4 linked regions of the Schizosaccharomyces pombe genome follow. Changing the gene in region 2 together with the main gene of any one other region gives a genetic interaction. Each region holds a gene or a part of one and is shown on either strand. Other genes may lie near its edges.

Region 1 (6,828 bases), on a different chromosome or scaffold from region 2:
GGTATTAAACTCGCATTCGAAAAACCCGAGGACTTTGTCTTAAAGCCTCAACGAGAGGGTGGTGGAAACAATACGTATGGAAAAGACATTCCTGGTTTACTCAGCAAAATGCCTCAGGAAGAATGGGACTCTTACATTTTAATGCGCTATATAAATGCCGTTCCATCACAAAACTATATTTTGAAGGGAGAAAGACCTGAAAAGTTTGATGTCGTCGACGAAATTGGTATTTTAGGTACGATCGTTTGGAACATCAAGACTGACGAAGTCGTTCAAAATGGACAGTCGGGTTTCATTTGTCGTACCAAACCCAAAAAAACTAATGAAGGTGGTGTTGCAACAGGCTATGCTTCTTTATCTAGTATTGAACTTTCTGAATAAATTTTGTGTATCAGTTACACCAGGTCAAAGGTATTTAATGTGAGACAAACGTGAAGATGTTGATAAAATTTTTGATCTGAAACACGTTGCTACTTCAAGATATCAATAGACATGATAGACAAGATGCGGATTTTTTTTTTAAAATCGATGATATTACTATTATACATTAATTAAACTTTTCGAAAAAGTCATTACCAGTTATGCGATAATAAAAAGAAAGGAACCCAGAAAAGGCAGTAAAAACTCTTAAAAAATCCTTTAAGTGCCTCAAAGAAGATATTAATTATAAAGTATTTTGGGAGAAAAATAAAATCTCCTGTGTTCAAAATAAAAACAAAACAAGTAAGAAGATAGGAAAAAAAACAAAAAACGATTCAAGCATAAATGACCCGAGAATACTCTACCCACCGTAATATTACACCACGAATTTGGTCCCACTGTTTACTGTCAATTTGGAGCCAATTCTCATGAAGTGATCCACAAGAATCACATGTAAAAGGTTGCATCCAAGAAAGATACTCATTTAATTCCTTATGTACTAACCTTTCAACCTTGAAACTCACTTGGCATGGCTTAGAAGTTTTGCCGGGATCCGGGAAAATTTCTAACACCGACCTGGAAAAGGCACAATTTTTAGGGTACTCACGAAGGTGTCGCTGAAGGTCAGAAACTCTGGAAATTTGGATGAGGGTAGAGTCACCTAAAACGACCGAAGGGTTATTTTTCTGCTCAAATCTGTAAACGCAGATATAACCCGGACAATCATAAGAATCCTGGTTACAAAGCTCACTTTGTAAAAGAAGTTTACATCTTTCGGATAGTAGCGGATTAATCCAATCTTCTAATACAACAACTCCACGAGTAGGAATAGTTCCCGGAGAAGCGACTAATGAAAGTCTGGGTGGAAGATGTTTACGATGAACAGGAGGTATATTGGCACGCAAAAATTCAGGGTCAACAGGTTCAGTAACATTTAAGACAAAAGAATCCCCATTATTTAAATCCTTTACAATTGTAGTAACTTCTCTAGGCTCTGACATCTGAGTTTCATAAGTTTGTGGATATACTGTTTCGTAAGTAACTGGACGCCATTTTAACGATCGAGACAACCATCTATAAAATCTCGTTGCCTTACGACTTAAGGACCACCAAATAGACCACAAATCCCGTTTCCAGCAATCCCACTTATCTTGTAAGGAGTTCGAAAAACCGAGGTTTGTAGAGCTCTGATTACCCAATGTCTCAAATTTTGAAGTAGAGGAATATTCATTCACGTCTGCAGCTTCCGATTCTACATTTGGGGAAGGAAAATCTGTAGAGATTGATACTGAATGCAGAGTATTCGGCATTTTCATGAAATCCTAATCAAACAATATCAACATCCTTCAAAGCCTCTAAAGTCTTAAAATGTATGAACAAACTCAATTACTCGTATTTTCAGATATTTTTCAAAAGTTTTAACAATCAGGGAAACGGAAAAAGCAAACTGAGCTTAATGTTGACATTGGGATTCGTTTAAGGAAACGATTCATGTTACGTTATTTTATTTACCGTAAACATTTTTGCCATTCCAAGTGCCACTACTAAGAAGTAGCAATAGTATTGGCACTAAGTAAAAGGGAATTGACGGCAAGAAGGAATGCTCGTGAGGGATTTGTTTTGGAGTGTAGTTCTGTAATTTTTACCAGAAATTGGCGAACCGTTTGCTTGGTAAGGTGAGACTGAGATGCAGATAGAGATATAGGATGGGCAAGTAAATGCATATGGAGGTCGTAGTATAAACAAAGAATCATCAATGCAAGACAAGAGGCGGCTTCTTTAGCATTTCCTTCATCGACAATAAATATAGCATCTCTCTCATAAAATGGAGGATCAAGTGAATTTAATTCTTGCAATATTGAAGGGAAATGCTTGCGAAACACCGGAGCACCTTTTTTTCCTGACGGTATTGGAAAACAAAGTTCATTCTTCACATTCAGGGTGGTATTCGACAAATTCAAAACAAAGTAAGATGTATTTTCTGGAGGGGGATAAAATCCCGTAACATCCCCAACAAATATAGGAGTTGGTAAAAGATGGGTTAACGAAGAATTTGACATGGTAGGTGAGTTTCTAGTTGAAGATAGTAGGAGGCTAATTTTTTGCTCCAATTGCTCCTCTGGGCATGTGAGGATAGATTCAGTATTTTGCCAAAAGACTTCAGGGGTCAGCCCATGCGACCATTCTTCTTCGTCATCTGCTGCTCCTTGAACGTAAAGAAATCCATGTTCTCGGGAGTACCCATTCTGTACTTGAGCACTTGCAGTAACCAGAACAACTGTAAAATATTCTTCAAATTGTGCAGATGTTAAACGACTAGCAGGTGTTACCCATAAAGGACGAATGGGTTTAGTTAGCTTAGCCGCCAACGCATCTAAGTCAATGCCGGACTGCATTAAAGAATCTACAAATCCATCTAGCCTCTGTAAAATAGATGATTTTTCTGTATCAGGTAAAAACGGGGGTAAAAAGGCCAAACGAGCATTAGGAAAGGAATGGGGACGAAGCCGTTCGAAAACACATTTATTGAGCGTAGCAATCCATATCGGAATCGTCTTTGATAGAGCATCGGGCATTCTCTTTCCACGACGAGTAGAATCTACTATAATCAATCCATCACAAGTGGTTATCTCATTTAGCAAATGCAAATTGAGACGACGACAGCTAAAAGACCATTGCCCGGTATGACCATCAGTACTTTTGAAATAAACAGAAATCGGAGCATGTCGTCGGTTGACATACCACGTACCGCATCGTTCATTTACAACAGGTTTAAATGTGGGGTACGAAGCTATAACTGAGTCGACAAACTTGGCATCGTGTGCAATTGACAGCAACCGATTCTTTCTTGAAATTAGTGTTAGCCAAATTTTCCATTCGATGACATACAAATAAAAGAAAAGCAAGGCAAAAAGGAAAAACAAGTAAAAATCAGCAAAAATATATATCAGTACGAAATCCAACAAATGGCGATTAGGCTAAAAATTTTTCATGAAAATTTAATAGCAGCTATCCATCGTTTTTTCTTACAATTTGCATTAATTGCTTGTGCGTTTATAAAGGTAGCAATCATTTTCTAAGTCTTTTGATTCTGCCAGCTTATTTGTATAGCAAATTGAGACTTACGGGTGTCTTGCTTGAACATGAATTTGTTGCACAGCGTCTAAAGGGTCGAATTCGTCCATTCGTTTGGCAGATCACTTCTGTGAGAACTAGAAGTTGAGATATTTGAAGTGGTGGCAGTCACGGCAGAGGGAAGTGTTCGTATAGAATGGTGCTCCGGGCAGTACGGATTGGAATGGAGAGTACTACTTTTCGAATTTGTTTCTTTTGTATGAAAAACGAGACTCAAAAACCCCATATTGCGAAGGCTGGCAACGTATAAATTATGTTGGGTTGCAAAGTCCAGGATGTACAAATCGATCGCCCCAATTCTTTTACGATGAATACTGCCAAATACGAACTCCGAGATATAAATCGTTAAAACAGATAGAATTCCATCTAATAGATTTCCAATTGACCATGGACAGAAGGCTTCTCTCAGTTTCTCGTTTAATGTGTGAATGAATACATCCCAATCCTCAAGATTCACATAAGCTCGAAGAGGTACAGGATAATCGGTTGGAAATTGAGGATATTTATCTCCTGAAACCGAATAATCCCTTTCAATGCGAACAAGCATCGAAAAAACCTACTGAAATGAAGCTTGGTGGATTCCCTAGCTCTAGGTTCAAGTGTACAATATTAGAAGACGGATTAGAGAATATGTATAATGAAACTGGGATTCGGTAGAGCACAAGAAAAAAAATAAATAAACAGGAAAGTTATAAGTTAAACAACGTTAAAAATGACTAAAAAATTATAAAACACTCATGAGTTCATCGATTGATCATATAACCGGAACTAAACAAACAAACGTATTAAATGTCAGAATTGAGTGATTAATTGAGTGAATAGCTGTAAAATGGGCAATGATAACTCATTTTAAAAAATCATTATGATTAATTGAGTGAGTTTCAGATTTGAAACAAAAACCACACAGTTTGTCACTAGGTAATTTGAACGGATTTATAGTGAAAATTAAGATTGATAAAAGGATGTGGTTTTAGTTGTTGAGGAATTGAAAATTAATAAAACGTATTGCTCGTTCAGGAAGAGGATAAAAGCTCTCTACAGGATATATTTCATCTACGATAAAAGTTACTTAGAATGAACTGGAAAAACTACTTGGGAAAATAAATGTAATAAAATATAAAAAATATTCGACTGTATATTATATGAGCATTGACTCATATTACTTTAGTCGTTAGATGAGATAAAACTTTGACAACGAATGCGGGCTTTTTTGAAGTCCTTGCTCAGTCCAAGAAGAGCGTCTTAAATCAAGTTCAATAAACTTTTTTAGCTGCAAGGGAAGTTAGGTTGCTTTAAAGTACTCAGCTATCTAAAACTCATTGTGCTTGCTATTAAGTTAAGCGTTAAAGATCCTATTAGGCTTAATATCGTCTGCGTTCTATACGACTTGAAGCTTACTCGCTTCTAAAAGGAATATTCGTTTAAATAAAAGAAACATGCTAAATATATATCTATAGATTCTTACAACCAACTTTTCTTATCCATTTATGCAAGTTGAATTCATGATTTGAAGAAATTCCAAGAAAGACGATTAAAAAAGAACCCTCCTTTACGAAGATGAAAATTTAGTTTCTCATGATACCCATAACATAACTGTTTAAAGGAAATATGTATCGCATTACACTGTTTTGTTTTTTTTTTCCATAGGTAAACAATAGAAAAAGTGTTACCTGTCTCGAGTCACAGAAAATTCGTATGATCTACAATCGCAACCCCAAACTACTTACCATCTACCACCTAATCATTGAAAATTAAAAGATTGCTCTGCGATTGGTAATTGCTAGCATTTGTGATTCACCACTCCGTCTTTACCTATATTTAACTATACTTTGTCAATTTCCCCCTGTTTGATACTTTTTAATTGTTTTACTTATCCAGGATGTCTGAAACGTTCAAGCTTCCCGATCATGACGAACTTCCCCAGCTAGTTCAAACTACTCTTTTTGATGTTGGAGCCAGAGTGTAAGTTTAATCCAATTTTTTACTTTTAAACGTTGAATTATCCAAAATGCTGATTGTTCTGCTATCTTTTTTTGTAAGAGACAGGGCTTAAAGGTCTAAGTACTTTTTTGAAAACTTATAATACAATTGTACTGCAGCACGGCATTTGATGATTTAACTCTTTTTTAGTCTTTTTGTATAATAACTAACAATCATTTAGTCGCAAAGGTACGTGAATCAAATTTAAAAAAAAAAAATGAGTGGATTTGTTTATTAATACCTTAATCAAAAATTTCTATAAAGCACTCTTTCTTCATGTTTATACTTTTAATGGAAAACTGTTTTTATAGAAACTACTTCCTTTCTACCTTTTTTCCTGTTTAGATGAAAGCAGTTTTTACTAACTTTAGCAGCTGTTCAAACTGGTTACAAATTTGACCAACAACTTTTCCCTTCTTACCACAAGGATCAAACTGATAGAAATGAGCTTCCTCAGCAAAAACATGATCCTAATCTTCGTCTCGATGATTTGAAGCAAGAATTGGCTGCTGATTCTATTTTCTGGGATACCGCCTCCACTCAAGAAATCGCCGATTCTTTTGCCAAGCCTGATTTTCTCAAGTCTCATTAAATGAATAAATGAGCAAGATAAAGCTTTCGATACTATTGGGTAATATGTATATTTTCAATAGCATAAATCTTTGTTATTGAGATGAACTATTACTCAAAACTATGAAATTGAATTGAAGATAAAGATTTACTTAATTTATTTCTTCGACTTTGCTTTCTAGTTTTTGCTTGCTTATTGTAGTATTGTTTACTCATGAATATGCGGACTCAGTACTAGTAAACTATACTTTTTAAATTATTTGTTTTGTGTTTCTTTTTTCTCGTCGCTCGCTCATCTGCTATAGTTTGTTCCTTTGAACATTTTCATAATAGTACCATTTTTATTTTCAAATTACGTTAAATGTGTTCAAATATTAAAAACTAAGTACCCTCTATGCAAAACCAAAATTCCTTGTCCGTATGCGTCTTACATTCACAAATATAATCAGCTTAAATGTTCCAGGTAAAAAAAAGGAAAATAAAACACCATTTGAATGTGTCGAAAGTTACTAAAAATCCAACTTCCATAGCTTCAGTATTTTTAAAGGTGGTATAAATAGTTAAGAAGAAAAAGTCATTATTTTTTTGTCACGAAAATCAAATTTTCCTCTTTTTTAAATTTTTATTTAGGTATCATGCTTTTTGGCAATAGTAAAGTACCGCCCACGAGCTTACCTGGCGCTGAGAAAGTAACAGGACGAAATCCCTTTTTGAACTGTTTTC
Region 2 (9,455 bases):
TTTTGTAACTGATCACGGAAACTTCGAAGATAACTGAAAAGAGCTAACGTCGTTTGAGCAAATCCGAATATGCATTGAACAGACACCGATAAGCTAGCTAGCAGACTTTTAATTTTACAAGATTTGATTGGAACTTGTTACAATCGTGATAGCGTTACATTACAAGAAATGAGAGTCAGAGTAACCTCAATATATCTTCTAAATCATATTAAACACATTTATTGTTAGTAATAATATTTCAGGAATTTGAAAAGGAAAATATTAACGTTGAAACTTTTAATACATTGTATAAACTTGATAAAACTACAATTTACCGCTCGTCAATCAATCTGGAAAATTGTTGCTTAAATTTTTATAAATAGTACATTATTATTAATGTTATAACCAAACCTTATAACCTAGTACTGAAACACTAGAATTATTCACCGTATATTCTATTTAATAGAGTCGGTATGGCTTTCCCATAGTCGACTTGATAACTAAAGAACCAATGTTTTGCCAGCCCTTTTTCAACAAAGAAACTAAAAAGTTAATGGCCAAAGACAAATTGGCAGCTAATTGTTCTTCAGCCATATCGACATGACCGACAGCAACGCCTAGGCACAGCACTTTTTTGAGTTGGAACTTGATAGTTGACTTAACTTCAATAATTTTACCATATAAATCGTCACTGTGAGAAACAGGAGAAGGGAATTTACCGGCTATAGCCATCGAGTTAGTAACTCTTCCTTATCAATCAAAAAACTGAAAGGTGAGGCCGTGCGGTTCATTCGCTCGTATAAACTGTATATGACTACTTTACAAGCATAATAAAAGAACTCCAGCAAACTACATGCTAGAGCAGTTTTATTAATTCATCTACAAATCGACAAGAGCGCAATGCAAAACAGTGGTCAAGATAGTCCATGCATATCTGATCAATCTGTCACACATACCGCAACAACCGTTAGAAATAAACTTACCTTTAGATAAACCAGGACCCAACAAACGAGGGATTTGCTTAATAAGAACTTCGGAAGCAATGAAGGCGTCATACTTCTTTGCCAACTTTTTCACAAGCTTCTTATTTTTATTTAACTTTTTCAAGTCATCAACAGACATAGCATCAACACCTCCGTGCTTAGCACGATCAAGATCATGGGCATCACCAAGAATGCATATACTCATGTTAGGACGGGGGACATTGGGCAACTTGATAGTACCAGAGAAACGCTTGTCACGCTGAGGGTCATAGTTCTTCAAACCGATCTGAAGCTCTACTGTCTCAGTAAAATTACGTTTTTTCTCCTCTGAACCCTTGAGAATGGTTTCAACACTAGAACGAATATTGGCAGGAGAAACTTTTGACATCTTCAATATTCAGAATGCAATATAACAAAATTTAAAACGTTTTCAGTTTAACATTAACTTCTACTATCTTTGTGACTGTTTCTATATAGCTCAGCTTCAGTACACAATGGTATTACAACGAGATCAAGTACGGTTCAGTAAAAATACACTAATGGCAAATCGGTGCTTCAGTAACGATAATTATCGACAATGCGAGTGTGCCTTGAGTATGAGTTACAGAGTACTTTTAAAAAGTATTTTGGAAGGTAGTTTTTTGATGATGCGTGTAATGTCACAGAAATTAGCTGTGAAACTGTTGAAATCAAAGCATACATAAGTATAATCAAAATTTTAGCTATACGTCTTTGGGATTTATATCAAAAAAGAATTCTGCCCTATTGATGGCTGCTTAAAACAATCAATTCAAGCAGATGCCTGTTATTCCTCACCTGAAGGGTTTGGTTCATACTACAGATTTAGAGAAAACATTTAATAAAATAATGAAATCCAAAATGCAAATTCATGTTGAAAATTGTAGTGTTTGAATTTTTTAAAACATAGCTCAAAAGGAAACGGATCTTGAAAAAAATGGTTTACTCAACGACGGTGGACGGGGACGAGTCGATCGGTTGTACGTAGAATAGCCATATTTAGCATACAACCAACCGAATATTCCACCTCCAAGATGTGCAGCGTGGTCAATGAGTGTAAAGTTTGCAAAGGAGGAAAACCCTCGAGAAATTAATCCCCAAGCATCAAAGGCCATGAGGCCTAATAGCGCAACTCCAATTTTAATAGGTATAAAGGGAAGGAAAATAATGGAGACAGAAGCATTTGGGAAGAAATAAGATGTAGCAGCAGCAATAGCATAGATTGCACCACTAGCACCTAATGATCCTGGAGTAACTTTAGTCCCAAAGCGCAAACGATGGTGCAAGAGAGAAGCAACGTTAGAAAAAAGAATCGAAGAAATATAAAATGCAACAAACTGATTATTTCCAAAAACGTCAACAATTGCAGGCGCAAAGGAGTAAAAGGCAACCATGTTGAATAGCAAATGCCATCCAGATTGATGGCTGAATGCGGATACGATCATCGATGGCATATTAATAAATATAGGGTTCATGACAGCATATTTTTGTAAAAATCTATTTAAATGACTAAACCTCGGAGCTCGCCATAACGCAAACACACCGACGTTGATTCCAATTATCGACAATACCAAACTTCGACTAGATGTTTGGGGAATTGGAAATCCGTATGAGCTTTTGGGGTAGTTTTTTCTTCTTTTATCGAGATAATTGGCCGTATAAAAGGTGGCAGAACCAACACCAACAGCAAATGTAATCGGTTTCCATAATGGTGTTGGTTTAATATTTTCAATTCTGATCCATGGTCTGTAATAAAACCTTTTTTGTCCAAATTTCCAGAGTAAACTTTGAAAATTCAAACGATTCATCTGCGTATTAAATATATGTGAGAAAAGGTGAGTAAGGACTATGAGGTTGTATGCATAGAAACGCTAGTGTTGCCTAAGATAGAGAAATAAGAATCCGCTTACGCTTCTCACAGTACCTTAAGATCTTTACCAATATTTATTTAACTTCAAGCAATTTAAGTTATTTCTTTATATATTCTGTCTTACTTTTTATTCTCCTAATTACGTTACTTGCATAATCTTATATAAATATATATGCCAAACAATGTTTTTAACAAGTTAATTAACATAAAAAGATTTAATGAACCATATAGTCACGATTCATTAATCATTTGCTAAACTTGCAATGCTCGAGATAAACTAGAGAATTTACTAGTAAAAATTGTTATAATATATATTAAACTAAAAAGTCCAAATACCATATACAGAAGCAAAGTTCAATTTACTATTTTTAATTTTATTTTAACGCTCTTCATTTCCAAACCATTAAAAAAGAACAAAAAAACAAAATAAAATAACAAACAATTAAACCCGATTAAATTCTCTGTAGACCTTTAAAATATATGCTAGTATGCATATTTGCAGTGATATTTCTTTCCCCCCCCCCCACTTAAGTACTCCATGTGGGTTAAACTTAATCTTTGATAAATACCATTTCCCAAACAGCTAACGCCCAAGTGTTTTCAGTTATTCGCCATGGGATGTCCAAATTGCGGTTCAACTACTTTTGAATCTGATACCGCTTCTGGAAATACATATTGGTAAGTTGTTTTTTTTATTATATAATTTTAACGTGGCAATTGACTGCTAACCATTGAATAGTACACAATGCGGTGTTGTCGTCGAGCAAGATGCAATTGTTTCGGAAGTGACATTCGGAGAGGCTTCAACTGGTGCAGCTGTTGTTCAGGGTTCTCTTGTGAGTAATGATCAAAGTAAGTTAGAAGGCAATCATCCAGCAATGCGGTGTTTTACAGTTCTGATGCAGTCACCTTTTTTTGTTCAGTCTGTGTTAAATTTTGGTTTGATCTTTTACTAATAGACACCTCTTCGTCCATATTTTTCATCGACTTATATCTAACACAGCTTTAGCTCATGCTCGGACTTTTGGTGGCCCTTACAGAAATCAAGGATCCGTAGAATCCAGAGAACTTACCATTGCAAACGGACGTCGCCGAATTTCGGCATTGGCAATTGCTTTAAAACTTAACGAACGCCATATCGAAGCAGCAGTTCGCTACTTTACACTGGCAATTAACAACAACTTTATAAAAGGAAGGAGATCGCAATACGTTGTTGCATCCTGTTTGTATATTGTTTGCCGGATATCTAAGACGTCTCATATGTTAATCGATTTTTCTGATATTTTGCAAATTAACGTTTTTAAGCTTGGGTCTACTTTTCTCAAGTTGTGCCGCGTTTTAAGGCCTAATTTACCTCTTTTAGATCCGTCTTTATATATCAGTAGATTTGCTTCTTTACTCGAATTTGGACCGGAAACACATCGTGTCGCAAACGACGCTATCAGATTGGTAGCGCGAATGAATAGAGACTGGATGCAAATTGGTCGTCGGCCAGCTGGAATTTGTGGTGCATGCTTACTCATTGCAGCAAGAATGAATAATTTTCGACGAAGCGTACGAGAAGTGGTTCATGTCGTGAAAGTTGCGGATATCACTATTCAAAAACGCCTTGATGAGTTTAAATTAACTGAGAGCGGTGATCTTTCAATCGCCGACTTTCGAAACATTTGGCTGGAAGGACAGAGCGATCCTCCTAGCTTTACTAAAAATCAAAAGTTTCAACAATACGGTGCTCAAAAAGTTTCAAACATTGATCACACACAAGAATACATGTCCCCTATTAAAAGGACCCCGGATTTTGATGGCAACGAAGTTAAGTCTGAAGAGCTTTCGCAAACAGTAAAAGTTGAATCTCAAGAAACTCCTGTGCATTTGAAGGCCGATGAAAGAGAAATTAGGAAAGAGGTTACTGAAACCCTTAAGGGCGATGAACTTAGAAAGATTTCTCTACAAGTTAACGTTAAATTTTCGGAGGAAGAAGTTACCTTAGAAGACGTTGATGATGATGAAATTGAAGATATTTTGCTTGACAAGGATGAAATATTGACTAAAACTCAAGTTTGGATGGAGTTGAATAAAGATTATTTAGCTGAGGAAGAGGCGAAAAATTTAAAACTCCAAGAAGATTTAAAAAAAGGAATTGTCCGACAACCTCGTAAAAGAAGACGATATCGTCCTAGAGATAGCACTAGTGATGGAATAGCCGATACTGCTGCTGAAAGTGCAAAAGAAATGATGCAACAAAGAGCTTTTTCAAAAAAAATCAACTATGAAGCTTTGGATATGTTATTTGACGAAGAGCAGTCGTAACTTTTTACTAAATTTGGGCAATTGGGAGTTTTTTGGGGCTATTTAAGAACATTCGTTTTTTTGTTGTACGATAATCCTTTTTTATACATTAATTTATTAATTTTAGAGTTTATTTAACGATTTATTTATAAGGATTAATGAATCTTTATAAATAATTTTAATATTCATAAAAAAGGCCGCATGAATTTTTAGTTTTTTTCTATCACTGAGTAATTATTAGTATCCATCTAACGAAAGAAAATTCTGTGTTTAACAACTAAACACTGGTAGTAGATTAATCGTACACAGCTTTAAAAAGATTTGTTAAAATGAAGAGAGATTCAAAGGGACCGTAGTGCCACTACCACCCCGATAAACTTTAGGGACTCCAAGAAAGGGATGAGGAATTGGTAAGTAACTATCATCCTTAAAGTGGAATCTTCCATGATCATCAACTAGAGTTTTGTGTTAATAAAAAAATAATGCTTTTAATGATCGCAAACTTACCACGATTAGGTCGCTGCTGCAAGACGTAAGAAGATGGAGGAACTGGAGGAACAGAAGCTGAAGGAATGGATGGACCTCTATTAGGAAATTTAGGAGATTCTGATGTAACGTTAGGTGCATGTCCTGCTGGTGGAGCAAAAGAAGAAGGGCGTGATGATGTATTAGCAACAGGAGCTTGAGATAGAGGAGGTGGAGGAACTTTAGGTGGCATCGGAGGTACCGCTGAGGGCAATGAAGGAGCTGAAGGAGGAGATTTCACCGGTGCAGCAGGTTGTGCAGGTGGAGGTAGAGACGATGGAATAGGAGGTGCCTTTGAAGGAATAGGTGGAGCAGATGCAGGAGATGGTGGAGGAATTGAAGGTCGAGGGGGCGCACTTGTTGGCGGACGCAACTCAGATTGTGGAGTAGGAGGAGCAGGAGCGGAAGGTGGTGCGGCTGAAGCACTTGACTTTCCAATATGACGAAGCTTAGGCATGCCGCCAGCAAATAAACCTCCTAATGCAGGCATGGAAGGTCTCTCTTCTGCTTGCTGAGTATTATTTGAAGAAGTCGGTAAAGAGGGTGCGCCTGTGGGTACAGGAGGAGCAGCAAAGCTTTTTGGAGTGTTAGATTTACGTTCGCCTACGACACCTCCTCCGACAACGGGAGCCGATCGGTCGTTCGTTGTAGCTTTTTTTAGTTTCTTTCCTTTCTGGATAGAATTGAGCAGAGCTGATCGATCTCCGGTCATTAGAGGGGGGGCCGGAGCAGCAGCAGCAGGCGCTGGTGCTGGAGGAGGAGGCGGTGGTGCAGGTGCCATTTTATAAGAAGGAAGAATTAAAAATCAAAAATAAATCTTAACAAGCTTGAGGTCTGTAATCAAAATAGTAGATAATTCGCCTGTACACCTAACAATACAATAAAAGTAAAAGTTAAATTATCAGATTTTAAATGATTTTACAAAAAATATTCGCTATATACTTTGACAATAATAAATATAACTCAAAATATAAAGTGGAAACACGGGTATGGGTTTTAACTATGAGCTACCCTAAGCTTTCTACCACCACCATGCACTACAAGTAACAGGATTGTACCTTCTAGTGATTATTCAATTTAATGCATCTTAGTACAACACCATACGTATTCTGACCGGAACCAATCTGGAAAGTTTAGACTGGTGAATTTTTGAGGAATTTAAATAGATTTAATGTCGGATTCTAAAGAAGACATCCGCAACGGTCAAGAGGAAGATGATTTGTTTAGTGAGAATGAAGACAATCATACTTCGCAGCAAGATGAACTTATAAATGGCCATATAGAAAACGATAGTGAAACAGCCGTTAGCGATGACGGCTTGTTTTCGAATACAGAAGAGGCTACTGAAGCCCCTGAAGCAGAGTAAGTTGCAGTCTTATAGATGAAGCGAATTGATTCTAGCCGATGGTAGTTCTAAATGTGTATTTATTATACAGCTGCCACAGTGGTGAAAGTAATAAATCGCTTCATGAGGCTTTTTAGTAAAAAATCAAAAATTAGCGTCTTTTACTATAGCAAGCTATTTAAATCTATGCATCCTAACAAATGTTAGTGTTCCTGTAAAGAAAGTCCTTGAAGTCGCTGTTCCCAATTTCAAATCACCAGCTTCTGCTAGTAATGACGTGTTTCATGCTCATATTCCAAATTTCCTTTCTGTGGAACAGACTCCGTACGATCCAGAGCAGTACGCCGCGGAAGCCGAAGCAGATGCAGCTTTATTAGAACACGACGCGCATTGGGGTCAAAGAATAAAACATAAAGTTGATAATACTGTCCGCTGGCGATTGGGGCCGTCTGGAAGCTATCAATCGAATGCGCAAATTGTACAATGGTCTGATGGTTCATATTCACTTCGCATTGGTAACGACATATATGATACCCAAAATAAATTAATATCTCAACCAACTTTTGTTACTGCCTCACATGAAGCACAACATTTACTGAGAGTTCAAACATCCTTCAAAAGCAGTTTTACATTCCTCCCTTCAGCCATTAACACTGCTACAAGATCAAAATTGCCATCTATGCGTCTCACCACAGTCCAGGTTCCTAGTCGAAGCGTACAAGAAATTATTATTGAAAAGGATCCAGAACTACTAAAGCGTCAGGCTGAAAAATATGAGGAGGAACGAAGTCGAGCTCGGCGACGTTTAGAGAAAAGAAAGCAATTGAACAATTATCAGAATGGAACAGGAGAAGAAGAAGAGGATTACTCTTCCTTCTACGGTCCCCGTTCTACTTATAGCGAACAAAATGAAATCATTGACAGTGACCGTATGGATCGTTTAAAACGAATTAAACAAGAAGGAGCTGGTCAATATCGTGGTTATAATAAGGATCTGGAAGAAAATGAAGAAGATGACCTTGGTGACTTTATAGCGGAAGAGGAAGAGGAAGAGGAACAAGAAGAGGAACAAGAAGAAGATGAAGAGGATGAAGAAGAAGTTGGAGCTGGCTCCGATATAAAAGGATTTGATGCGGATAAAGAAGCAAGTGTAGCACGAGCTACTATTAATAAATATGAAGACGATGAGGTAATTCCTAGCGCAGTGGAAACTGACAGATCCGAGACCGTTACAGAGACTTCTGTCGGTGATGGTTCTGTACAAAGAAGAGTGAAGCGTCGGATTGTTGAGAGCGATAGCGAATAAATCCAAACAGCTTGTAATTCAATTTTTGTAAATAGCCAATTTGTTTGTTTGCGAAGTATGGTCTCTGTGTTATTTCGTTGATTTAAAAGATGTTTATTAATTGTACATTATTCTTATATCTTGTCTAATTTTTAACGCAATGGGATTCACATGTACAATAGCGAGAATTGTAGTGAGCAACTATATAAAATAAAACTACTTTTTTTAAAGCAAATATGGCGGATTAGGTGTTGAGATGTATTTCTGTGATCATTAAAGCGTGATATGAGTTCCTACCACAAACTATCATATCGGTTACCTTTGGAAGAGCCTGCTTGACCGTTGTTAATATAAGAGTAAGCAGAACGGCTAGAATTGTTTAGCCCTCCACGAGGCCTATTTGCTTCATGAAGCTCTTTTCTATGTGCAGCAAGCCTTCTTCGTTGTTCTTCATCTGCAAGTTCTTGCATTTCTTTAGCCCGTAGCTTTTTTTGTTGATTTTGACGTTGCCTTTTGGTAAGAGGTTCAGTGGATTTCTTTTTGCCGTACGACCTGGAGCTGGTAACAGTTTGAAAGCCATCATCGATATCGTTTGAAGAAAACGAATTATGTAAAGAGTCATCTGCTGTAATAGCGGCGAGAGATATTGATGACTTCATTTTCAAAGAGGAAGGGGTAGTTGAATGTTTCTGTTCTAATTTTTGAGTATCTTCAACGTCCGTAGTATCCTCCTTTTCAGCAGGATTTTTTCCGACCAATTTCTCCTTCTTAGGAGACTTTACTTTCTTGACTTTATGATTTTCTTGGAAAATTTTAGGTGTGCCCTTCTTTGGCACTACCACGGGTTCCTTCTTTGAAGAGTCTTTCGATTTCGACTTTAGGGCATCTGAGGTTTCCAATTTTTGGGATTTTTTAGAGGGAGTTTCTCGATTAACCAAAGTATCCTTCTTAGTGTTCTTTTGTTTCTGCCTCTGTTTCTGTTTACCCAACTTAGTAAGCTTAGACTTTTGAGGTTTGGTAGCTAATTTTTTATCACTTGAGACTAAAAAATAGTACGCAACGTAAACAGTAGCTATAAGAAATGCCCATCTAAAGAAAGCCTCCTCATAACCCATTCTTTATCTCAATGTGGAATAGTGTAAGTAGAGCAACCAAATGGCA
Region 3 (7,761 bases), on a different chromosome or scaffold from region 2:
AATTCCCCTTCTCAACTTGACCCCATTTCTAACGAGAACGAATCTGATACTGATGACAGTAACACTGGCCTTCGTAATCGTACATCTCCTACAGCTGCTCCACCGCCACCTTCTCGTAGGAAAACAGGTGGACTTAATACACGACCTTATCCCCAACACGCTGAATCTCAAATGTCTCTTCCGCTTACTGCGAAAGAGCGTTCCAAACCCAAGAAAATGGGATTTTTTAGACGATTATTCCACAAAAAGTCGTAGGCTTTTCAGGCTTGAAACTTTATTTACTATAATAGCATCTTTGAGTATCATCTTTCTCTATTCCCCTTTTTATTTGTTTACCAATTTCTCAACATCTAATACGTCTGTACCCCTGCTTTTAAATATTGAATCAGCTTAGTTCAATTCTTCGTCCAGTTTGTTGGAAGTTTCTGCTTTAATCTTCCGCATACTTATTATTACCATTCTTTGTTTTTGTCCTAATATTTCGCATCTTGTCCTTTTCTCTTTTGCTTCTTCTCGACATTCACTAGTTCGTCTGAAGTCTACATTTTTCATGCCTACTTGTTCTGCATAACTTTAACAAATCCAGATGCTTTTCTTTTACATTTTCCTTCTTTCGAAATTTTTTCACCTGGTGATATTTTGATTGCTCTCTACTTTAAGTAATTTAATCATGATCTCTATTTTTTCTACAATGCAGTCTTCGTTCATTTACAATCTAGTTTCACTAAGTGAATTGGCAGTAGATATATAGAAGCGTACTCTGCATGTTATAGGTAGCTGATGTTAGTTCCAGGAATGTAAAATCGTTATAGGAATTTGTATTGATAAAATTCTATCTTGTTAGCGTGTGAACTTAAACAATGATTGGATTACATACCTTGGTTTAAAAAATGCTGAGAAACAAACTTCAAGGGTATAATCAATTTTCAGCTGATCTTTTAAATTAACAGAACGGCAAAATTCAGGTATTTTGATTTGTGCGTGGATTGTGTTTTTTAGAGTCGGTGCCAAATTGGAATAAACAGATTTATTAGCAATTTTCCAAGTTGATTTTGCCCTTGTTTTCGTCTTAGTTTTTTGATAACGCTTCAAGTATCCGCAACTCGCGAATGTTTCTTCGGCCTGGTTCATACAATAACCACCGTAATGATTTTGAGTATTAGGGTGAAAGATATGAGTTTCCAGCAATCGTGCTTTTATATTATGAATCTTTTGAGAGTTAGCGATTAACTGTTATCTTTAGTTTAATTAATTTACTAGACTTTACCCTTCTGTGATGATTATGAGTGTAGCAAATGGTAAAATCGATGATTTGACCACTAAAAAACAAGGATCTGTCCGTATGAACCTCCAAGGTAGTTTTTGCTTCTTCTAATGAAAGATAGGGTAGGCTTTTAATGCATGAGATCGGGTTATATAGCTCCGCTATATTATTATGCATTGAAGTGATTACCCGTTTAGGAATTGTACAACGAGTACAGCGAATATTTTGATCCAGAGATGTTAAAGTCAGCGTACTAAGATGTCAGTTACTTTTTTCGGTTTAATCTTTTACCTTGAAATATAGTATAACAGTTCTAATTTCGATGAATGATAAGTACCTGGACCTATATCCAAAGGAACGATGAAGGAGAAAGGAAACCCAACTTTACAAGAACATTTAAGGAAAAGGCCCTTGTTGCCTATGCTGGCAGAAGCTGCCTTTGAGAGAATCAGTGCAGATGTCTTAAGGTTGCAAAACGAGTACTTTTCAGAGATAGAATAGAAAGGTTCTGAATGGCCTTTAAAATTCAAAATACCATAGAAATCGAGAAACATTTCCTTTATCCAAACACCGGTTTCCACGTTTTTTGCCCCTTCGTAGGATAACCAAATGTTGCCATGTAACAAGGATCCAGCTATTAAGGAAGTATCAGGAATCGTTATTGCTACTTTTATACCATCACAATTTAAAACTTGGTTTTCAAAGATTTTTTTTACTTGTAAATTAGATTTTCGAACTGGTGCATCAGCTTCAGGATAAAAAGACGATTTCCTATTCAGAATATTCGGTCGTAACACATCAGTTTTGATGGTTAATATTTCTGACTCTTCACTTAATATATAGGGATCATCAAAAGGATTTTCTATACTTGACAATGTTTTAGATGTCAATGGATCCGACAAACTGCAAGTTTCACTGTTACTAAAAAGTTCTTCTGTCATTAGCACGATATTAGGTTGTTATCAAAATGAATGTATATTTTTATTTATTGGAAATAGTTGTTGGAGAAATCTTAAACTGATATTTGCCAATGAGGTTGTTTACTCGTCAACATCATACTCGATGGTAAACATTCCAAAACAAAACGGTAACTTAGTTGGTAAAAAAACAAGCGCAAAAAGAAATATACAAAGAAATTGTAATAAAATTTTGTAAAATATAGATACTTAATGTCCACATTATTTGACTTATCCGTAAGGTCATTTGAAGATCATGATAAAAATATTACTTTTTCGTTTGCTGAACGTCGGTGTAACGGCCATAGCCTTCAACCTTCGGTTTTTCGTAATCAGTCTTGGTCATAAGCATATTCATTCTTTCTTTTATACTCATAGGTTTTTCGGGAATTACATCGCCCTGCTCAGCGTTTGGATTCGTATGCTCTTTTTCGGGTTTAGAGACACGTCGTGCATTCACAGCAATAGACATACTGGCACGTCTTCCCACCACACCTCGTTCTGTGGCCATATTGGTTGGAGGTACACTTTTGCTTTCTACCTCGCCTAGCCCAACTGGAGCATTGGAACTTTGAAGACTAGAGGGTGTAGGCGCAGATATATTGTTTTGTGGGTTTTCCACAGATTTTAAGTTTACAGGTTTTGGGACAGGAGCGGGAGCAGCAGCTACCTTGTTTAAACTTGATGTATGGTTGTACCTATCAACCAAACGGTTAACACTAGTCCTTGGCTTTCCCGAAGCATTACTAGCTGAAAGAGGTTCACTTTCTATAATATTTGATTCTTGACTATCAAAAGATTTAACATCACCAGTAAAGACAGCTTCGTTTGTAGGAACAGTTTCTTTAGCCGTAGATGAAAACATATCGTCAGCCAGAGCTAATGTGCTTAAACGAGGAGTCGTAGGAGATATTTTAGGTTTTGGCTGGACGGGTGGAGGTGGTCCATAAGTATGACTAGGTGGTGCACCTTGGGTAACTCGGAAGTTGCTAGGTAATTTTTGAGTAGAAGGTACATTTGAAGTATGTTGACCGTACGAAAACCTTGAGACAGGAGAAGAAGTGTTTCCATTATTATTATGATCTCCGTTAGAAAGATAAGGCATCGAGTTTACATTGGGTAACATCGGAGAAGCCATTGGCTTCATAGCAGAAGCAGGCTGAGGGAACACGGATGATTTACTCTGGTGAATTCCACTGTTTTCTAACTTGGAAGCATGTTGCAGATATTCGGAACCAGAAGGATTGCAGCTGGATACATTTTTACCGTTGTATATGTCGTAGATATGTATAGGAACATTACGCATCTTACAAATCTCACAAAAGGTTTGGTAGATATTAGGACGTTGCCAAGGATATTGCTGCAATAAGGTTGAAATTAGTCGCTTTAACCGATCTGAATAAGGTGGAAAGGTTGGAAAAGCGTAACTAACATTCATAATAGCAGCAAGCCCTTGATGTTCAAACGGAGTTGTGTAATAGCATAGTTTATAGAACAAAACCCCTAGCGCCCAGATATCTAAAAGCTAGTGTTAACGAAATATATTCTAATAACGTTACAAAGAAACCATACCACTTTTCTCGTCTATCCCAAATCCTTTATGGACATTAATCATTTCAGGGCATCTATATTGCCAAGTAGTAAATTTTTCGATATCATATTCTAGCTGTTTGGCCTCAGCGGCCGTTTTAGCACCCGGTATTGGGTGACATGCACTACCAAAATCACACAGCTTGTACGAATTTGGGGCAGCTAGTAACACGTTTTCAATCTTGAGATCTCTATGAATTAACGGAGGCTTCAAGTAATGCATTACTGCAACCGCTTCAGTAACATCAGAAGCTATTTTCAAAATTTCTTGTTCTGATAAACGAACTTGAAGTCTAGTGTTCAGAAAGTCAATCAAGCCTCCACAAGGGCAATACTCCAATAGTACAAGGACCTCGAATTGATTTTTTGATGTCCTAAAAAATTCCGAGCCATAATATGAGACACACCGTTTTTGGTTGCTAACAAGTTTCTAAAGACAAGTCGTTAGTTTATAGTAAAAAATTGGAGAGCAACAAAATACAGGATAGAAGGACATACCATAGTCCGTACTTCTTCGTGCACAGCTCGAAGGGCCATAGCATCCGTTGCAAAGATACGTTTCAAAACTGCCTCAAACGGTGGCTTTCCTGGGAAGACCAATTGTACCAAATATACATGAGAGAAGCCGCCTAAAGATACGCTGTTAACATTTGGAAGCTGATGATTTTACATACCTTCAGCAAGGTATCGTTTTACTGTAACCGAAAACTTTTCCACCGTACAACTAAAACCAACAGGCAGAAGACCTGAAGGTAAAGAAGATACTGGAAGCAATGAAGTGTTGTTTGTTTCATTCATTGCAAAAGAAAGTCTGCTGCAACCAGATTTACTCAATGTAAATTTGGTGGTTTAGGAGCGGAACGTGGGTTAGGATATATAATATATAAGTGAAACAGGTGATATTCAATTATTGGCCTTTACTGAATTATTCCTTTGTATAAATTGATACATTCGATAGCCTTCATATGATAGAAAAAGAAATGCATCCAAGCGAGTTCGATTGCATTATTGACAGATGAAGCTGAGTTCAAAAAATAAATACTATGGAAGACAAGACTAGACAAGCATTATTTAAGTTAAAAATTATAGTTATGTTTTCATTTAAGTTTCTTAGTTCTCTCTTCTAATAGTGAATACATGATGGAGTAATTTGTTGCTTCAGGGACTGCAGAAAGACTTATAAAAGGCTGCATTACGGACCACTATGATAGCTAAAGGAAAATTTAAATAGACGAACTCCGTCAAATGTTAACTTAAAAATCTAGTAGTTCATTACATTAGCAAAATTCCTGTCCTTCAAATGCATTGACGACTAACTCCAATAAACACAGCTATCATCCATTGTGAGGATTGGAACAGAAGATACTACCATTAGATTATCTACTTTTAAACAATTAATCTTATGAATTGAAGTAAAGTAAGACAGACCTCCAACTCGCTATCGCTTATATCATAATTAGCATAATTAGATCGCATCGATCAGTTAATCGTGATTTTTCTAAAGTTTGAGGAAAAATAAACAAAAAAAAGTGAAATAATTACAATACATATGTTAAAGCGCATTTTCCCCAATAATGGCCCTACTTAACTTTTTTTGTGGCATCCATTAACAATTGCCTCTTAATATTAACCACGAGATCACAAGAATTAAACCGAGAATTCACGATACTTAAACATTGTTAAATGAAAATATAAATCCCTTGGAACCACTAAATTTACCTTTTTTGCAGATACCACTTGGTGTACTTATCTTAATAAGGGCAACTAGAACCAACATTCTATCTAAAGCAAAGTAACCAGAAAACATTCCTAAATTTTATACATGCTTTAAATTTCTTAATTTTGATATATATTTCGATATCAAGAATTTTGAATGCTTTAAAGTCGTTTGAAGGATATTGCCTTTTAATTTTTGCAAAAAAGAGTTTCCTAAGTCAATATATATATATATACATATATTCTTTCTTTTATGTAATTAATTTTAAAAATTATTTGAACATGAAATTCGGAAAGTAAGGATTTTTTGAAAGTTCTGAAGCTTACTAACTGTACAGGGTTATCGAAGGACAATCTGTTGCAGGTATGCTAGTTTGTAGTTGAAAAATAATTGACGTTCGGATATGCTAATTCGAGTAGAATGGGCTTCTGCTTATTTTGACTACAAAAAGGGGAAAAAAATAATCGCAGGCATTGCAAAGAATCCTTCTGAGGGTCTGTATGGTACTTCAGGGATTTTGGGAGAAACACCTGAAGAAGCCATTGTAAAGTAAGTTTTATTTAATTTGCACTATTGACTAATAAAACAGACGAGGTACGTTTTTTGACATCTCTAAAAAATGCATTTCTAACTGCTTTTGACCTAGGGCAAATTCATCGGTTTCATCCCCTTTTTCAAGAGTTTCTTGACCAACAAGCAAACAAGGTGGAAGAATTTTTTGAAAATTTGGTGTCTGATGCGCGAGAAAGAATGGATCTTATTAGCGATCAGGTCGATATATATGAAAAGCTTCGTGCATTCAAAAAGGGGACCCTTGAATCGGGATCTGTTGTATTAATACAGAAACAGCACTCTAAACTCAGACAAAGGCTTGATTCAATCCTCAATTTTTCTCGACTTCAACCTGCTTATCATATCCCAGCTAGGAAGAGTGTCCCAACTGATGCTTATACTCCGATGGTCAGTTATCGCAAACTGAAATCTAAATTGAAAACGGTATGCCTCAGTGCTTTTTTCCTTCATAGTATAGATGTTTGTAAATTTGCTAATTGTTTCAACTAGACATTGCTGGACTTTTATGATTATCTCAAATTGGTTTCTCAGTACCAGCATCTTAATCAACAAGCCTTTCGAAAGATTGTCAAAAAGTATGATAAAACATTACATACAGATCTTCAGGGCTTTTGGGTTGATTATATGAGCAGATATACGTTCACAGATTTCAGCATCACTACAAATTGGCAATTGCATGTTGAAGACATATATGCTCGTCTTTTTACCAATCATAACAAGAAGCTTGCTTTAGAGCATCTTAAGTCATTTCGTCAAAAAGAGGTAAGTATAATTCAGTTGCATCTGGACTTTACGTTATACTCTAATTACTAACTTGGGTTATTTAGCACTTTTCTGCAAACTCGATGCGATTTGGACTCTTGTTTGGTGCAGGTTTACCGTTGGCTATAGAGGCTGCTTGCTATTATAATGCTACTGAGCAATCCTCCTACCTTCTTCAGATATGGGGAGGTTTTTTTTTAGTAATTTTTGCGTTCGTACTGTTTGATTTAGACTGTTACGTGTGGGAGAAGACACGGGTTAACTACATGCTTATTTTCGAATTTAATCAAAGAAAATCTTTAAACTGGCGTCAGCATTTGGAGATCGTAGGAGCAGTCTTCTTTATTTTTTCGCTGTTCTTTTTCCTGTGTATGAGAAATTTCTTTCCTGGCTTCACAATATATTTTCCGGCCCTGTTTTTGGGAGTAGTGGGCACGTTTTTAATAGCCCCCGTCATTGTTCCCTATTGGAGAATGCGAAGATACTTGATAATTCAGCTTATCCGTGTGTTTTTATCTGGGCTTTCTACTGTCCATTTTCAGGATTTCTTTTTTGCTGATCAAATGGTTAGTCTAACTTATGCATGCGGTAATATATCTTTGTTCTTTTGCCTTTATAAGCGACTTTGGCGACAACCACAGCTTTGTAACTCATCACATTCTCCCTTGCTAGGTTTCTTTACCACATTGCCTGGCATCTTACGTGTTTTTCAATGTTTCCGAAGATATTCAGATTCGTTGAAAAGCTTTCCACATCTTGTGAATGCTCTAAAATATATTTTTAATATCCTCGCCCAAATGTTTTTAAGTCTGTGGAGGATTCATCCCGGCTTGAAATATCGGGTTTTGTATACTATTTTTGCTGGCGTAAATTCACTTTTTTCTTATACGTGGGATATT
Region 4 (8,977 bases), 2.8 Mb from region 2:
TTGAAGGTGCTCAACCACAGTGGGAGCCTCCTATTCCAGGCTTGCATATTCCTCCTCCTCCCGGTACCACTACCGTCGTCTATCAAAAGGACGTGCCTCGCTCTTCTGACGGCTCACGGTCTATGACGGCTGGATTAGGAGGTTTCATGGTTGGAGCTTTAGCCGGCAGTGTTCTTCGTGGTCACCGTGCTTACTACGCCCCTCCTCCTCCCAGAGGCCCTTTGTTTGGTCCAAGAATCGGTGGTGGCCATCATGGCCCACTTCATGGTCCTCACGGTGGTTTCGGCGGCCGCGGTGGTGGACGCATGGGTGGACGTGGTGGACGTGGCCGCAGATGAAAAGCGTTGATTTTTATTTAAATTTGGTTCCGATTTCGTCCTACATACTATGGTCGTTGATTATGGAATCGCTCTTTTTTTTTGAGAACATCACTTTCTCCTTTGAATAGAATCACCAAATTCACGTATACGACTCTTTCGAAATTGTTAAATGGAAAACACGATATCCAGTGAAGTTCTTTTTATTCCCTTGAAATTTCATACTATTTTTGCTAATCGTTCTAAAATTGTTATATTCTGTTAGTCGTTCTTTGACCTAATTTCTTGTTTACTTATATTAATTTTGTTATCATCTGATCTTTACTTGTTTCAAGCTTCCTTATTTATTGTACCATTGCATTCTTTATTGGGATTTCGAGGAAAACGGTCTAATTTATAAAATTTCTGTTTAATACCAAAGAAGTAAGGAGCATATATTATAATGGGTGTGAATATCGACGGAGTTGGTTGTCGATGGAATCATTTTTTTGGCATTTATCACTTCGACGTGTATTTACTTATTTATTTATATTTTTTTTTGGTTAATTGTAAAAAATTGGGTGAAGCACAATTTTTGAAACTTTTAAAAAATCAATGGTTGTTTTTTCAGACGTTAAATTAGTTTATTATGCATGATTTAAAATAGTCAATTATATATCTTTCATTTATTATTATCATTGTTTTTTCATTACTAGTTGTCCTTTTTTTTTGGGTATTTTAGTTGAATAGTTTATAGTGGTGTATTACTGACTATATAATTGGCAAACTCAGATATTTGTTTGGTTTTGGATTAAATGCACAATTCCGAAAAAATTAAGGCAGAAAGAAAAAAAATTTTTTTTACACTTATGGGATGTCATACCACTATTTTAAAAGACAAACAGATATCATTTGAATCGTTTAAAACCTGTATTTATCAAGCTGTTTAAAATAAGAGAAATATAACTTGGCTCTTGGATACACATAATGAAATAAGAAAAGTTAATATATTTCAAAATTAAGAAATATTATCTACGGTACAACATTTATTTGTTCATATTACGATTATTCAGTAAGGATACGTAAATTTGTACCTGGCAATTATCAAATGAATGTCGAGGGTTTTCATAGCAATGCAAAACCGTTTGTTTTTAAGCAAAGCCGGCGATTAAAAAGGGTAATAAGAGCAATTTTCCTTTTTCAATTAGCTATGTTTCAAGTCAAGCAGCATTAGTGAAACCCTGATATTCTGAGTTTGAATAAAACAAATTGGCAGTCTATTTTCCATGAACAGCTTTCGATAATTAGTGAAGTACTTTTAAAAACACGTTAATACCACTTTAATGGAACTCGTAAATTCGTAAACTAGGAATGACGAATTATGGTTTGGGGCAATCACGATATAGTAAAATAACGAAATTTGCATAATGCTACTACCACTACATCAGCCTCTTATGTAATGATCTGTAGCGTATCAGATTTTCATTTCTTTTATAATCGTTCTATACCACTGCGCGATTTCTCCTTTTCCCTAACAGATACAGCTTACCACCAAAACTTTCTATCTTTAATACTCGAAAAATTAAGTATATAGATCTTAGAGAGTGATTTTTGAATATCTGCCTATAACATTTTTCTTTTCTTTGGTTAGAATCTTTCTAAGCCTCTATATCGTTTATATAGGTTTTTACTCTGTGTCTTTACAGAATTAATCATATAAAAAATGTCTGTCTATCAAACTCGTGAAGGTTTGCCCAGTGGATGGGTTGCTCAATGGGATGCTGAATATGGAACATACTTTTATGTTAACGAGTCAGCTCAAAATCCACAGCCCCAATGGGAACCACCAGTCGAAAATCTGAAACTTGCTCCTCCTCCAGGAGCCACAAGCGTTAATACAGCTGTGTATAATAACAATAACAATACTTCTGCTGCGAATACGAATGCTGCATACAATGCTAATACTGCTGCAAATGCCAATGCTAACACTGCCACGACTACCAATGCTGCCGCTACTACCAGCGCTGCATATAACCCCAATGCCCCTGCCAATACCAATGCTGCATACTATCCTAATGCTGCTGCCACTACCACTACCAATGCAGATGGTAGTGATAAAGGGCTGTTCAGTGGGCTTACCTCTTCTAATGGCTACACCACTGGCAACTCTTACAGTAGACCAAGCTACGTTGCTCCTGTCGCTGCAGGGTTAGGTGGATTGGCCTTAGGTGGCCTGGCTTCACACGCACTTGGCAATCTCTTTCACCATCGTGGTCATAACGGTGGTGGTTTCGGAGGTTTTGGTGGTGGTTCTGGCGGTCCTCCTCCTGGTCCTGGTGGATTTGGAGGCTTTGGAGGCTTTGGAGGTGAAGGCCATCATCATGGTGGTCACGGTGGCTTTGGAGGCGGCCCTGGAGGTTTTGAGGGCGGTCCTGGTGGCTTCGGAGGCGGTCCTGGCGGCTTTGGAGGCGGTCTTGGAGGTTTTGGAGGAGGCCCCGGAGGCTTTGGGGGTGGTCCTGGAGGTCATGGCGGTCCTGGTTGGTGAGACTGAGAAACATGGAACTAAATATTTGTTTATGAGCTTTTTATGTGAGTATATTGCGCAATAGATATTAAGTCGATACCGTTAAAAAATTTTTTATGTTTATACTCAGTTATTTTGCTAAAGTGAAATTGAATTTTATTAAGGTAGGACTTTCTGAAAGTATTAAGTAGAGCTGGGCAATTTTAGAAGTGCACATAGAAAAGCTCGCAAGCAAGCAATTTTGATATCCCTGTGTTGTTGTTTTTTAGGTTTATGTAGGAATGATTCAATGCAACAGTTTAGATATAGGTAAACATAAGTGCTGTATCTATAGCTGTGGAAACAATTCATGCTTGTTCATACGTAACATTTTATGCGCAAGTATTAAAAGATTCTAAAAAATATCTATTATGTTCATTATCTCGCACACGTCAAACCCAGTCTACTTCGAAATGCGTACGTGTATACTTTGGCTGTATACAATCTGAAATTTGAAATTTAAAGCTGTCAGATTAGCTTCTATTAATATTGCGTAAATCGGTTAGTTCAGAGTCTTTTATCCCAATACTTCGTCAGATTTGTATACTTTCTTCATTAAAAGTACATGTTTATCTTAACATAGAAGAGGTAAGTACCGCTAATTAACCGAATTGCAACTTGTAATTATAACAGCCAAATCATTTCAAACCAGAAGAGTGCAAGTTTAAAAAAAAAACCGATAGAACAACATACAGTGCCGCATTCAAACTACACATACATAGGGTTTCATCTCGTGGTATATAACGAGTCAATAGAGCATTCTCAATGTTAAAAAATACGGAATATTGTGGTTCTTTACAAAACTCATTACCTTCTCAATAGTACCACTAAAATCAGTGATAACTGTTTCAGAGGCGTCCGTATATACCTTTTTTACTGTTGTATCTTAATTAGCCAATTTTCTCGTATCTTCTTTCTATGTTTCAGCTCATTGTTTTGATTATAGCGATGGTGTTCACCGTTGCTGCTATCCTATTGCCGCATCCTTAAACTTCCATAAGCTCTATAGGTGTCAGGTAGACTACGTCATTGAGTAACGAACTACATCAGCGTAAATTTGGTTTAGAATGTATGAGAACTTAGCAACTCCAAACCACAAATATCAACGACAGGATTATAGACTGATACATAGAAGAAACTAGCAGTTCTTTTAAAATTTTTTTAGGATTTAACGATTTATACCTATTGGGGTACTAAGAATTTGGTAGAGTTACTCAAATTCAGTTAAAGACACGGATTTTCCTTATACGTAATTAGTGTCGATTTTCTGAAATCTTGCTTGCTATTTTATAGCTTAGAACGAAAAAGCAGGAATTTGTTTTGTTTTGTTTTTTTAAAAAAAAAAACACTTTATCTTGTGAATTGCTTTGGAAAGTGAGCGTATTCCTCGTAGGAGCTTTTGAATTTTTGATATATCGTTAGCTTGTAGTGAAGGAAACGGAAGCCATCAACGGAATAACCTTGTTCTCCATCATTTGCTATCATTCGTGAATAGGAACAATAAAGAGAAAAAAAATACATTTTTAAAGAAGTTTATATATACATTGATCTAATAGTGAAAATATTTAACACGAATAAGTTTGTTTCATATGCCTTCGAAATTTTCCTCTAAATACGTGGATACAGAAGCCATTTCAAATGATGATGACAATCCCTTTGCAACCGCTAAGAGTTATTACTCCAAGGATACAGACTTGTCGACTCGGGTAAGTGCTGGCCGTCCTCGCACCTTATCCACTTCGATGGAGGCATCCGCCGCACCAACTATACCAGAATTAAAGAATTTACGTCGACGTGGAAGTCTTGATGAACATAAACAACCACGAAAATTTCTTGTTGATGTTGATAAGACATTGAATGCACTTTTGGAATCTGAAGACACCGACCGGAACATGCAAATCACCATCGAGGATACCGGACCTAAAGTTGTTTCCCTTGGCAGCGCTAGCTCGGGTGGATATCGCTTGTATGAGCTTCGCGGCACATATCAATTGTCAAATTTACTTCAGGAATTGACCTTGGCAAAGGATTATGGACGTCGATATATTTTACTTGATGAGCGAAGACTTAATGAAAACCCTGTGAACCGACTTTCTAGACTCATCAAAGGTACCTTTTGGGATGCCCTTACTCGAAGAATCGATGCCAGTGTTTTGGATGTTATTTGCCGTGATACCAAAGACCGATCAGGATCACACGTGAATCGAATTTATGTTCCTAAAGCCGAACAAGAGATGTATGAATACTATGTTCGCGCTGCTAAGGAAAGGCCTTACTTGAATTTACAGGTCGAATATCTGCCGGAAGAGATTACTCCAGAATGGGTGAGAGATGTAAATGATAAGCCAGGGTTACTTGCACTTGCAATGGAAAAATACCAAGATGATGAAGGCAATACACATCTTCGAGGTGTGCCATTTGTCGTTCCTGGTGGCCGGTTTAATGAACTGTACGGCTGGGACTCTTACTTTGAATCACTGGGTTTGCTTGTTGACGATCGGGTTGACTTGGCGAAAGGTATGGTGGAGAATTTTATTTTTGAAATTACCTATTACGGTAAGATCTTGAATGCCAACCGCACTTATTATCTTCTTCGCTCCCAGCCTCCATTTTTGACCGATATGGCCCTTCGAGTTTATGAACGTATAAAAAACGAAGAAGGATCTTTAGACTTTTTGCATCGGGCCTTTTCTGCGACTATAAAAGAATATCACACTGTTTGGACTGCCACTCCACGACTGGATCCCAAAACTGGTCTTTCCCGCTATCGCCCTGGAGGACTCGGTATTCCTCCGGAAACTGAAGCTTCTCATTTTGAGCATTTGCTTCGTCCTTACATGGAGAAGTATCATATGACTCTTGAGGAGTTTACTCATGCATACAATTACCAACAAATTCATGAACCCGCGTTGGATGAGTATTTCGTGCACGACCGCGCAGTTCGCGAAAGCGGGCATGATACTACTTATCGGTTGGAAAAAGTTTGTGCTGACTTGGCCACCGTGGATCTGAACTCGTTGCTATACAAATATGAAACCGACATCTCACATGTGATTTTAGAATATTTCGATGACAAGTTTGTACTTCCAAACGGAACTATAGAAACTTCTGCCATTTGGGATCGTCGTGCTCGTGCTCGTCGTGCTGCAATGGAAAAGTATCTTTGGTCAGAAGCTGATTCGATGTGGTATGATTACAACACGAAGTTAGAAACGAAGAGTACTTATGAAAGTGCTACTGCTTTCTGGGCCTTGTGGGCCGGTGTGGCAACTCCCCGTCAAGCCGCAAAATTTGTTGATGTTAGTCTTCCCAAGTTTGAAGTTGCTGGAGGTATAGTTGCTGGTACAAAGAGAAGCTTGGGTAAAGTGGGTCTTGATAATCCCAGCCGTCAATGGGATTATCCTAATGGCTGGAGCCCTCAGCAGATTTTAGCTTGGTATGGATTGATTCGATACGGATATGAAGAGGAGACTCGTAGACTTGTATATCGTTGGCTATATACTATTACTAAATCGTTTGTTGATTTTAATGGTATTGTTGTTGAAAAATATGATTTGACCAGACCAGTTGATCCACATCGTGTTGAAGCTGAGTATGGTAATCAGGGTGTCAATATCAAAGGCGTTGCTCGCGAAGGTTTTGGATGGGTTAATGCCAGTTACGAAGTCGGCCTTACATTCTGTAATTCGCATATGCGTCGGGCTCTTGGTGCTTGTACGACTCCTGATGTTTTCTTTGCCGGCATCAAGGAAGAATCTCTTCCTGCTTTCGAAAACCTTTCCATTCATAAAAATTAAGTTATCGTTTGCTTGAAAAAAATAATCGACTTTGTCTACTTTTTTAGTTGCCTTTAGCTTTATTCTCTTATTATGTTATTTTGGTTATCGACCGGTTAAAACCCATTGTTATGTTACATGTTATACCTTCCATTAAATCCTTCTACTATGAAGGTTCTATTTGGCGAATATTCCCTTACGAAACAATAGTTAATTCTATTTAAATTTATGAGTAAAGCTTATCACCAGCGATATTATTACTTTTTTACTTAAAAGAAAGAAGTAGTAAATGAATTTTTTACCTTACGATTCAATTCTAATTTATAATTTCCATGATAGTACTGTTGTTGCAGTTTTAGTCCGAATATAACTCTAATGTTTAATTTGGTGTCTATCACTTTATTAGTTTTTTTTTTGAAGGAATTGTCTTCTAGAAACTTATTTTGAGTTAATGTACCGTATTATGTCGTTCACATTTGTAGACAACATAAGTTGGCCACTTCCTTACACAACAACAGTATATTATTAAAATGTGTTATGGTTCGATATTCATTAAGAAAGGTAAGAGATGCTTAAAGAGATAAGGATATGAGTAAATTTAGTGTTTGAAGTTCGTAATTATCGTTCGCTTTTGAATGTGAATGTTAACAAAATTAGGCGCATGAATACGCCCGAGATGGGGAAAATCAGGAAGTTTTGGGAGAAATTTCACAAGCAATTATGTATTATGGATTAGCAAAAAGTCAGTTTGAAAAGATATGTCAGAACACAGCTCAGCCTCTTATTAAAAGATGCGCAAATAACCAAATCGAAGAGTTGATGGTTCGTATACGCGAGTTACGAGAATCATTGCCAAACAAACAAACACCAATATCAATGTCAATGTCTACGAGATTATCACCTATGTATACTTCTTCATTAACTCCACGATTTACGTCCAATTCAATGGTTTTACCAGGTGATCATAATACTACTGTTCGACTAAAACCAAGCTTTCGTGAAGCTTTAATGGAAGATTCTGAGGACGATTTATATCAAATGTATTCTAAATTCGAAATGCAGGTTAAAAAGCTGTCAACCAACTATGGACTTGCAGTTGCTTTTTCCATCGTTCCCATGGATGATGATCAGCCATCACCAAGCATATTTAGCTCCGATGAGAGTTTTTTGATCGTAGAAGGTGATGATTTTTCTCTTGGTAACAGCGTTGAAGAAGATGCCAATGCAACAAGCAAAGAAGATCCTGCCTATCAGAATACGAACGAGCAGATTCAACCGCTATCGAATTTCGATATAAGTCAACAAGAATATTTAAATAATACAAGGATTCCATATGAAAACGAGGATTTACATTTACAACACATTACTCAAGGAACTACAGATGATAACAATGTATCCAAGTTTCTTATTCCTTCATACAATGATGCTAAGGAATTATCTGAAGAGGAGATGGGAAGAAGTCATAAAAGGGAAGAATCATTTAAAAGAGCATTTGGTCACGCATCAAGTAGCGAAAGTAGTATTGGAGAGATTACGGATTCTAGGGAGGATATTCAGTCAAACCGTCTTGTTAACGGCTCTTGGGAAAATAATGATTTTACTAAGGAAATAAACAATAACTTCCCTGATAGATCTGAAACGCCAACGCTCCAAACAATTGAAGCTCCGACCAAACTCATGAAATATACCAGACGCAAAAGTCTGTTTCGGTTTCCATTTTTTCGTTCAATATCTGGAAAGAAAAAAGAGGAGCCTATGGAGTCCGGAACTGATTCACTTGAATCATCTACGGCACAGATTACGGTCGATTCTCAATTGAAAATCAAACAGCTTGAAACACAAATCGCAACTTTACAAAAGCAACTGGAGCAATTTCAAACCAGTACTCTCGATCAAGATCTTCACTAAATGTCATTACTCGATTTACTTATTAATTCTTTAAAGAAACGGCAACTGATCGAAAATCAGTTTTCAAAGCAATACATTATGTTGTCTCTGCAAAATTCTGTATGTTTCGTTAAATTGTGCCTTAGTTTTCCTTTTGAAGAGAAATGCATGGGGAGGCAAAATTACGATGACATGGTCTGTGGCGAGCCATCCTTAATGGAATCAATACTTATTTTGGCTTAGATATGTTCTCTGCGCATACCATTATATTTGGGATTTTACTTTCTCTTTTTACCACCTGAAGTTCTGAAATAAATTTTTACGTGCTTCTATAACTGAATTCGACTACGAAAACTAGGATGAGGATGGATGGCTCTGATTTTGAAGATCGAAAAGTTAGTAAACCGAGCCCGGTATTACCTTTTGATGTTAGCAACATTGGTGATTTGAGTCAA

Evidence for each region.
Region 1: mutations in vrp1 (region 2) and mug113 together harm fitness more than expected from each alone (negative genetic interaction), as found in Schizosaccharomyces pombe (one large-scale study listed by BioGRID).
Region 3: mutations in vrp1 (region 2) and ppk38 together harm fitness more than expected from each alone (negative genetic interaction), as found in Schizosaccharomyces pombe (one large-scale study listed by BioGRID).
Region 4: mutations in vrp1 (region 2) and ntp1 together harm fitness less than expected from each alone (positive genetic interaction), as found in Schizosaccharomyces pombe (one large-scale study listed by BioGRID).

The regions. Positions count from the first base shown.
Region 1 is NC_003424.3:2,825,083-2,831,910, forward strand, and holds mug113 (protein mug113), read right to left. Parts: upstream 1,848-6,828; 5' UTR 1,737-1,847; coding exon 756-1,736; 3' UTR 501-755; downstream 1-500. Other genes in the region: glutathione synthetase large and small subunit Gsa1, read left to right, coding at 1-381; rit1 (initiator methionine tRNA 2'-O-ribosyl phosphate transferase), read right to left, coding at 1,965-3,267, 3,547-3,605; palmitoyltransferase complex subunit Erf4, read right to left, coding at 3,584-4,102; spd2 (ribonucleotide reductase (RNR) inhibitor family), read left to right, coding at 5,435-5,517, 5,717-5,724, 5,910-6,127; rRNA processing protein Faf1, read right to left, coding at 6,728-6,828. UniProt on the Schizosaccharomyces pombe protein: Has a role in meiosis.
Region 2 is NC_003423.3:3,052,465-3,061,919, reverse strand, and holds vrp1 (verprolin), read right to left. Parts: upstream 6,656-9,455; 5' UTR 6,446-6,655; coding exon 5,647-6,445; intron 5,595-5,646; coding exon 5,464-5,594; 3' UTR 5,161-5,463; coding exon of another isoform or gene 3,860-5,160; intron 3,845-3,859; 3' UTR 3,703-3,844; coding exon of another isoform or gene 3,590-3,702; 3' UTR 3,529-3,589; coding exon of another isoform or gene 3,464-3,528; 3' UTR 3,117-3,463; downstream 1-3,116. Other genes in the region: rpl102 (60S ribosomal protein uL1), read right to left, coding at 439-701, 963-1,350; rbd1 (rhomboid protease), read right to left, coding at 1,892-2,788; transcription factor TFIIIB subunit Brf1, read left to right, coding at 3,464-3,528, 3,590-3,702, 3,860-5,160; RNA polymerase II-associated Paf1 complex protein Leo1, read left to right, coding at 6,836-7,026, 7,217-8,315; SPOM_SPBC13E7.07 (uncharacterized protein), read right to left, coding at 8,588-9,409.
Region 3 is NC_003421.2:2,389,119-2,396,879, reverse strand, and holds ppk38 (Ark1/Prk1 family protein kinase Ppk38), read right to left. Parts: upstream 4,662-7,761; 5' UTR 4,609-4,661; coding exon 4,485-4,608; intron 4,440-4,484; coding exon 4,309-4,439; intron 4,241-4,308; coding exon 3,793-4,240; intron 3,739-3,792; coding exon 2,489-3,738; downstream 1-2,488. Other genes in the region: protein Pal1, read left to right, coding at 1-255; arrestin family membrane adaptor Mug170, read right to left, coding at 784-832, 878-1,209, 1,268-1,517, 1,556-2,205; spx2 (SPX/EXS domain-containing protein), read left to right, coding at 5,809-5,822, 5,865-5,890, 5,947-6,076, 6,117-6,121, 6,174-6,523, 6,590-6,862, 6,928-7,761.
Region 4 is NC_003423.3:202,630-211,606, forward strand, and holds ntp1 (alpha,alpha-trehalase Ntp1), read left to right. Parts: upstream 1-3,951; 5' UTR 3,952-4,448; coding exon 4,449-6,656; 3' UTR 6,657-7,012; downstream 7,013-8,977. Other genes in the region: protein wwm3, read left to right, coding at 1-338; protein wwm2, read left to right, coding at 2,020-2,841; protein Atg38, read left to right, coding at 7,173-7,196, 7,293-8,543; protein mug168, read left to right, coding at 8,882-8,977.